Neurospora crassa OR74A: one gene and its partner. The protein of the gene in region 1 interacts with the protein of each later gene in a biochemical or structural test. Links are inferred from orthologs where the notes say so. Each region holds a gene or a part of one and is shown in the gene's direction. Other genes may lie near its edges. The genes, in order: NCU04581 and Bml.

Region 1 (4,378 bases):
GGTTGAGTCTTTGGCAAGCTATCTCCTTGGCACTTAGCCCGCGCCAGTTGGCTGGGCCACCGGCGGGTGATAGCGAGAAGTTGACGACGATCGCTCAGCTGCTCAAAGATTACCCGACTAGAGCGATTGCTGTCTTTCCGGAGTGCGCTACCACCAACGGCAAGGGCATCTTGCCGCTTTCGCCGTCGCTGCTTACCGTTCCGAGCTCGACGCAGATCTTCCCGCTCAGCTTGCGGTATACCCCCGTTGACGACACCACCCCGGTTCCTGGGGGAGTGAAGGTGTGGTTGAGCTTTCTGTGGAAGTTGCTGGCTAGGCCGACGCACTGTATCAGGATTCGCATTGGCGAGGGGCTGGTTAATACCGTAGGGGCTAGCAATGGTGTTTCACATGGGGAGAGCTCGGGGGTGGATGTCCGCGAAAGGCAAGAGGGAGGGGATGGAGAGTTGACGGCCGAGGAGCAGAGGCTTTTGGATAAGGTGGCGGAGACGTTGGCGAGGTTGGGTAGGGCGAAGAGAGTTGGGTTGACTGTGGAGGACAAGAAGAACTTTGTGAAGGCTTGGGAGAAGAGGAGGAGGTAGATGGTGTGGGATGGAGGAAAAGGGATTGAGGTATATATGAGGGGTTTGGGAGAACGGTTAATGAGGTTAATGAGGATGATTTGGTTTCACTCGTCAGGGATAGAAATCTCTCTGACGTGTAGTTGGACATTGAATCGCGCGTAGGAGCTGTCATCTTTTAACTGCGCACAGGATACTCCAGCATTCATGACTGATATAACACACCAGATCACAGTGACGGTAGAATAGGAGAAGTACTAAGATGCGTTGCCCTGAAGTAGGCAGATGTTGGCGAGATTATATGGTCATCGTTCAAGACTCTCGACCAGTGAGGGAACATCTCAAAACGTCCAAAGCGTTGTTTGGCTTGCCCGCTGAACCAACATGTAAAGAACCACTGCATGCTGGCCCAAGAAAGGAATATGGGCCTACAAAGTGCTTTGTTTTTCGGGGTACGCGATGGATGCATGAGCGAGATAGGCGAGCTTTACCTGAGTCTGGACATCGTGGTGTCCAAAACCATTGTCTTCGAAACATGAGAGTATCGGCTTGTAACATTTCCCGTCCTAATAACCTATGTGAAGCAGGATTAGAACCAATCAGAGTATTGAAACAGAATCGGACACTTGTCGAAGATTCTGTGATAAAAGGTTGTGGCTGTTTAGTGCAAGAAACATTGCAAGGTCGGGACAATGAAGACCGAAAGGAGAGCAGATGTCTTGGCGCTGCAGAGAATGGTCTAGCGCAAGGAACAAGCAGGTACGTACCGTCCCGTGGCCTAAGATGGCACCTGCACACTGTGGGCCCCGCTCGCCCGCTTGGTCGAGGTCGAACGATTGGACATAGCGCTGGGAGAAATGGTTGCCGTGGTGAAGTAAACAAAGCGATGCAGGGCCAGGACCGGGCCCAACTCGCAAGTGGAAGTCCCACTCAACCGCCGCTTGTACGCCAATCGACGCTCTGGAGCCGGCACGCCGTCGCTGAAGGCGCATGACTAGGTACTGAACGACTTTCACAACGGCGCCATCACTATCCTCGACATCTGGGGCGTTGCTGCTCGGCTCGTGTGTGCTGGTGAACAACATCATCCCTCGCATGCGCACGCTCGCCATGGAGAGCTCCGAGAACAGGGTACGTATCACAGCTGTCTAAAACACTTCGTTGTGTCTTGATTGTTCCATCATTTCCCTACTGCGATAAGATGGAGAAGCAGGGCAGCCCGCTTATCGAAAATTGTAGAACGCCCTTAACCCAGCCTCGACCAAGTTGCGACTTCCAACCACCTACGCCGCCACGGCCACCGCGACTGCTCCCACCGGCCTCAAAGAGATCTCCGACTCCCAGAGCAACGCGCGAGCGCAAATGTCGTCCATACCCACGAAGCGCGCCGCAAACGACAGCGGTGGTAAGACATCCCCTCCACCTGCTTCGTCTTGTTTACCAGCTAGATCAAACACCCACCACATACATCATGGCTTTGTCCATGCCATTGTCCATGGCCTCGATGGCTAACACGCCATGTTCTTCAGTCGCCCCGCCTGATGCGAAACGAAAAACCCTCGCCGAGAGGGCCGGCGAGCCTATCCAGCCAAAGTCCCATTTACCAGCGCCAACGCCCACCAGCGCCTTTCTCACAGGCACCATATCCGGCGCATCAATCGTTCAGTTGGCTAATGTAGGTCCAACCTCCGCCCATCAGCACCATACATTCTGAGTCTTGTTTGCCATCTTCAAATTGATTTTACGACAAGCCCGGCCACCTTCCACAACACAAATCCCATACTGTCGCGTGACACACCGTTTCCCGGTGCTTTCGAAGGATGGCCACTGTGGGATCAATTATGCGCGTCGATATGGCTTAGGTCAGTTCTGACTTGATGTCTCTCTAGGCCCGAAATGCGAACAAAACGACGGCAACGGCGCTCCCGCGCGCAAGCTCGGCGACTGGTCATCGGCCAACTTACTCCTCGACAAACCCATCCAGCTTCACAAAGAGTTTGGGTCCTTCAAGCCGACCACCTGTAACAGGATTACGACAACCCAGCTTCAACCAGCCCACAAATCGATCGCGATCCATTTCCAAGCCACGACCAGCAACATCGATGAGCGGCCATGGACCTTCGAGAGACGTTAGCGTAGCGCCTTCACAGCCGGCGCCTACCCAGCCGCCTAATGGTACGGAATTTCTATCTTCTATACCCGTCCCCGGACCCAAAGTCAAGCCTAAGAAGACACGGGGATCTCCTTCACCACGATACTCAACGTCGGGTAAAGAGCAAGAGAAGGAAAGGGCTGTTTCGGGTCTGAGCAGGCGCCTGCAGGACTTGTCGATCTGTGATGAGAAGGAGAACATCCCCAGCGGGAGTCAAGTGACGCCTCGAAAGACTTCGCAGCCCGCCTCCCAAGCGTCTTAGTCGGATGCTAAGGCGGAGCCTGCTAGAAGACCCAGACGAAGAACCGAAGGAGCCGTACCCGCACGACGCAAGTCCTCTCTCCAACAGTCGACAACGGCGTACCCGGAGACCCCTAAAGCAAAGTCAAGATTGGAAGACCCCCGTGCGGCTATGGAGCGTTTCGAGGTCATTCTCAACTCTGCCGTCGTCTCCGCTCACAGAACTGCCTCGACCCGAAAATCCGTTTCACCTGTCAAGCTTTCTTTTCTCACCAAGGATTCTAATAACACCGCATTCACAGGCATTGACGTCGACGAGCGGCTCAACGAGGTTGATGCGGAATGGAAGGTGATGAAGGAGGCTTTCAGCATATCTTTGCAAGACAAGAAGGCCATGGAAACGGCCGTTCAGATGGCAAAGAATCAAGGTACGTGGCAGCAAGTATACAAACACGCCAGGCTGACTGACACCTACTAGTGGACACACTTGAGGCGGAACGACAAAAACTGAACGAGAGAAACGAACTGCTGCAGAAGGAGATGGATGCGTTGCGACAACAGTTCCAACAACTGACCCTCACACTGGAAAGACAGAAGATGGACCATGAATATCAACTTCAGAACAAGTCAAGAGAGCATGAACATGAAGTCCAAGAATTACAGAGAAAGTTGAAACAGGAAAGCGAACGACTGCAACGAATCAACCGCGAGGAAAAGGACGCTTTTGAGAGGCAATGTCGGGCAGATCTGGAGGGTGAAAAGGCAAAGGCGGCAAAGGAGGTCCAAGACTTGCGGCTGAAGCTTGGGGCAGAACAGCAGGATATCAACAAATCGCTCTTGGAGAAAGAACGAGAACTACGGCAACTGCAATCTCAACTGGACGATCTGCGGTCAGAACTGAGCCAAGAGCAAAAAAACAAAAGGGCGTTGCAGGAACAGATCAATGAGATGGCGACAACAAATGGGAAACTGGAAGCCCGGAACCAAGGACTTCGGGCGCAGATTGACTTCCTTGAATCTGATAGCAAGCAACAGTCGGATTCGTTTGCACAGATGGAGGCACGGCTTCGGGAGGCCCTGGAAATCGCGGAGAACGCCAAACAGAAGCTCATCAAGGAGGAGACGGAGAGGCGGATATTGTTCAACAAGTACCAGGAGCTCAAAGGCAATATCCGGGTCATGTGCAGAGTCCGTCCTGCACTCGGCAAATCCGAAGGCAGCGAGGCCAAGATTATGTTCCCCGACGCCAAAACGTCGTCCGCACAGATTGAAGTGACCGGGCTCGAGGAAAAGAGTAGCTTTGGAAACATCAACCGCAAGGTGCTCCCCTTCGAATTCGACCGAGTCTTTGCTCCGTCAGTCCACAACGAGGAAATCTTCGACGAGATCTCTCAGCTGGTACAGAGCGCTTTGGACGGCTACAACG
Region 2 (4,457 bases), on another chromosome or scaffold:
GGATCGAGAATATGAGTGGTTAGGGTCTTTTTTGCTATAATAGGCTGAGGCCATCGGATACGAAGATATACTGAAAGCGGGGTTTCGACTGATTAAAGCAAGACATGAGAGGATGCGACAGCAAGGCGGGTCGCACTGCTCTACTGTAATGAGGAGAGAGGAAAAAGCAGGAAAATGTATGGGGACATAATGGCCATGGCATAGCAGGGCGTGCGGCTTATTCATCGTTCTTGTTTTCTTGCATGGCGGGATCTTCCTTGAGCATCAGCAGCACTTCCTTATACCATTTGCATTGCTTCTGGGTTAGGTTGTGAAATGGGGAATGGAGGGAGGGAAAACAAATAAAAACGAACACACGGGGGTGGAGCAAGCGGAAGCATACCCTACGCACAGCATGGCAAAAAAAAGCCATCAACAGCAATGATCAAGTCATGAAATAGCCTCATGAACGGGTTGATCATTCTTCTAGTTAAATTAATATGTCAATGTCTATCTACAACTTTCATATTCTGATTCCGTATATGTTGGGGAGCATTCCGTGCTTGTCCAGCTCCATCCTTCTTTTGTCTCTGTCCCCTCAACTTTGTTTACATGTACACCTGACTGACAAGAAGATGGGGAAATGAAGGTCATCATCCCTGCCATCATAGGCGACAGCGAAATGTTGCATGGCTGCTGCAATGCAGTGGACCTACATATTTCTAGTGTACTGCTCAATGTAAGGTACAAGTAACGAGCGATCCTTTCGTTATTTGGGTGAATGAGATCTCCTTTTTCCCAATCCCAACTTCCGGTGTTTTGTTCGATAAATGATATGCGACCAGGTTCAGGAGAGCGGGCTCATCCTTCCCTTCTGCGGGCAGTTGGCAATCAAGGTACACTACTACCCCAAATTGCCAATCAGCAGGCCCATACAGTACCCCGTACACTACCGTAAGCTACGAAGCTTGAAGCGTGCCGAGATGGAGGGGTAGCTTGCTTCCCTTGTTCCTTTGTAAGTGGAAGTCATGGATGGCATCAACTATACTAGTGTATAATGCCGCGTCGAATTGAGGAGTTTCCATCTATGTGTCTGTTTTTCCCTGATCTCCAGCTAGGTAATTTGCAGGTCGGGCTCAACAATGGATGTGAATGTAGCCCCCTACGAGTCGCGATGCTGTTCCTGATCTCCCAAGTCTGGCCGGGCCAGTGACCGAGTCGTGCCCAAAACCAACAGCCAAATCCAATTGGAGGTTGCGACAGTTCGACAGCGGTCTCGAGCTGGCGACTTACCCCACATTGGCAGGAGCATGTGGGACCCGCCGCCCGGCTGGTTTTGCCTGCCAACTCTGCCAGCCAACCAGAAGCAGACTAGCGCGTCGCGCTGGCCCCGAGAGACAGCTGGGGGAGGTTTGTCTTTGGCGGTTTTTGGAGGTCAACGCGTGAGGAACCGAGCCAGAGTGCAGGGACCACCCAAACCGAGTCGACAGGGGGCCTTCCACCCTTCCAAAAGTTTGACAGTGCCTGATGTCCCCACTTTGGCAAGCGCCCCGGCAACCCAGCAGCAGCCCGGCGAGCGGCGGCGGCGGTGAACGAGAAGCTGGTGCTGGCCGGCTGTGGCCCGCTCATTTCTTGCACCAAAAATCAACAAATCTCCCTTTCCACTCCCAAGACTTCCCAGTCTCCCCTAGGCCAGACATCAAACCTCTCCACTTTCACCGACCTCCGTCGTCTTCGTCTATCCGCGTCGGCTTTATCACCACTTCCATCTTTTTGCTCTTCCATCTTTCTGCCTTCAACCTCCACATAGACCCGTGTTCGTCATCACCAAACCGTCAAGATGCGTGAAATTGTAAGTCTCCCTCTGATGCCTACTGTGCCGCGCACGCAGAGCAATCCCTCTTTTTTTTCTCTTTCCCTCCCAAGAGACCCCTGATTGCTCTACCCCACCAAACTGCCTCGTCCCCTTCTGTGCCTCTACCTACTGCTGCCCGACTCATTATGATCCTGCTCGCTTTCTCGCCATCGCGGACTGCCATCTATCGCGAGTATTATGGACATCGACGCTGACACGATTTCTTCACGTGCTATAGGTTCATCTCCAAACCGGCCAATGCGTAAGTCGATGATGGCTTCCACCCCCGTCGCGATCCAACAACAACAGCAGGACTAACACAACAGCCACGATCAGGGTAACCAAATCGGTGCTGCTTTCTGGTACGTCGTCATCATCGCGAACAACCACACCTTTGAGCGAGGGAGCCCGACGCTGACAGAATAAACAGGCAGACTATCTCCGGCGAGCACGGCCTCGATGCCTCCGGTGTGTACGTAACCTCGTGCCCAATAACCATATCTGGTGATGGCCTCGAAAGCTCACCGCCCACTACAGGTACAATGGCACCTCTGAGCTCCAGCTCGAGCGCATGAACGTCTACTTCAACGAGGTGAGCAACAACCGGTCTCGACGATCTCCCCCTCCTCGAGAATTCGCTCGCTAACTAGCTTCGCGCTTGACAGGCTTCCGGCAACAAGTATGTCCCTCGTGCCGTCCTCGTCGATCTCGAGCCCGGTACCATGGACGCCGTTCGCGCCGGTCCCTTCGGCCAGCTCTTCCGCCCCGATAACTTCGTCTTCGGCCAGTCCGGTGCTGGCAACAACTGGGCCAAGGGTCACTACACTGAGGGTGCTGAGCTTGTTGACCAGGTTCTCGATGTCGTCCGTCGCGAGGCTGAGGGCTGCGACTGCCTCCAGGGCTTCCAGATCACCCACTCCCTCGGTGGTGGTACCGGTGCCGGTATGGGTACCCTCCTTATCTCCAAGATTCGTGAGGAGTTCCCCGACCGCATGATGGCTACCTTCTCCGTCGTGCCCTCCCCCAAGGTCTCCGATACCGTTGTCGAGCCCTACAACGCCACCCTCTCCGTCCATCAGCTCGTTGAGAACTCCGACGAGACCTTCTGCATTGACAACGAGGCGCTTTACGACATTTGCATGAGGACCCTCAAGCTCTCCAACCCCTCTTACGGCGATCTTAACCACCTCGTCTCCGCCGTCATGTCCGGTGTCACCGTCTCCCTCCGTTTCCCCGGCCAGCTGAACTCCGATCTCCGCAAGCTCGCCGTCAACATGGTTCCCTTCCCCCGTCTCCACTTCTTCATGGTCGGCTTCGCTCCCCTTACCAGCCGCGGCGCCCACCACTTCCGTGCCGTCTCCGTGCCCGAGTTGACCCAGCAGATGTTCGACCCCAAGAACATGATGGCTGCTTCTGACTTCCGCAACGGTCGTTACCTCACCTGCTCTGCCATCTTGTAAGTTGCTGATCATGGAATGCTGCTTTTGACCACTAATACTGACGAATCAAACAGCCGTGGCAAGGTCTCCATGAAGGAGGTTGAGGACCAGATGCGCAACGTTCAGAACAAGAACTCTTCCTACTTCGTCGAGTGGATCCCCAACAACGTCCAGACTGCCCTCTGCTCTATCCCTCCCCGCGGTCTCAAGATGTCCTCCACCTTCGTCGGTAACTCCACCGCCATCCAGGAGCTCTTCAAGCGTATCGGCGAGCAGTTCACTGCCATGTTCAGGCGCAAGGCTTTCTTGCATTGGTACACTGGTGAGGGTATGGACGAGATGGAGTTCACTGAGGCTGAGTCCAACATGAACGATCTCGTCTCCGAGTACCAGCAGTACCAGGATGCTGGTGTTGACGAGGAGGAGGAGGAGTACGAGGAGGAGGCCCCCCTTGAGGGCGAGGAGTAAATCATTCCACTCAACATTCAGGCTCCTCTGCGCACGTAAAGTGCCAAAGGCAATACCCTGCTCGGTGGAATGCCGCCGGGCTTGTCGATTTTACGCACATATGCGCATTCTTGACTTGAAGCGGAGGAGTTCTTCGTTGCGGGTTACAGTGTTTTAATAAAAGAATGGTCAAATCAAACTGCTAGATATACCTGTCAGACACTCTAGTTGTTGACCCCTATACTCTTAATACATCAGACAGTACATGCATGTTGCATGATGATGATAATGTCTGTTTAGATTCCAAGTGTCTACTGCTGGCCAAGCTTTCTCTCTACGCACTCTGTAACTATGGGAGCGTGAGATGTATCAAGAGTCCTTAGTTTTGGGGGACTATGTCTGTGTTGTGCGGTATACTTGTAACTAGCTTGCGGAAGATGCGACAGATCTACGTAGATCAGGGATTATCATAATTATCCCTGACATAATAGCTGTTACGCGGCAGCGGCGAAAAGGCAGTCGGTGACTTTTAGATACTCAAATGTTCGCCCACTTTTTCATGTGCGTTGAGTCATGTAATGTAACCAAGGAAGGGCGAGAACCAGACATGGTCAACAGAGTCAGTGATAAGATTCCCAGCTTCTCGCAGTGAGTATTTTGCAAGACCGAAAGCCACAACAGAACACCAAGTCCAAGTGAACTGTCTTACAAGCCCATTATGGAAAGTCTCCATTTAC

Evidence for each region.
Region 2: the proteins of NCU04581 (region 1) and Bml form a complex in vitro, tested with the Saccharomyces cerevisiae proteins (2 studies listed by BioGRID, with this or other methods). The link is inferred for Neurospora crassa OR74A from reciprocal best matches to the Saccharomyces cerevisiae genes KAR3 and TUB2.

Annotation. Positions count from the first base shown.
Region 1 is NC_026505.1:1,612,423-1,616,800, reverse strand, and holds the start of NCU04581 (kinesin), read left to right. Parts: upstream 1-1,478; 5' UTR 1,479-1,655; coding exon 1,656-1,691; intron 1,692-1,799; coding exon 1,800-1,965; intron 1,966-2,089; coding exon 2,090-2,235; intron 2,236-2,449; coding exon 2,450-2,735; intron 2,736-3,254; coding exon 3,255-3,380; intron 3,381-3,430; coding exon 3,431-4,378. Other genes in the region: NCU04580 (vacuolar protein sorting protein Vps66), read left to right, coding at 1-581. UniProt on the Saccharomyces cerevisiae protein: Minus end-directed microtubule (MT) motor involved in spindle midzone assembly, poleward transport of newly captured kinetochores along the lateral side of MTs, karyogamy (nuclear fusion) during mating, and with an essential function in meiosis I.
Region 2 is NC_026506.1:2,581,247-2,585,703, forward strand, and holds Bml (tubulin beta chain), read left to right. Parts: upstream 1-1,618; 5' UTR 1,619-1,819; coding exon 1,820-1,831; intron 1,832-2,072; coding exon 2,073-2,096; intron 2,097-2,170; coding exon 2,171-2,196; intron 2,197-2,264; coding exon 2,265-2,306; intron 2,307-2,371; coding exon 2,372-2,426; intron 2,427-2,499; coding exon 2,500-3,290; intron 3,291-3,347; coding exon 3,348-3,741; 3' UTR 3,742-4,269; downstream 4,270-4,457. UniProt on the Saccharomyces cerevisiae protein: Tubulin is the major constituent of microtubules, a cylinder consisting of laterally associated linear protofilaments composed of alpha- and beta-tubulin heterodimers.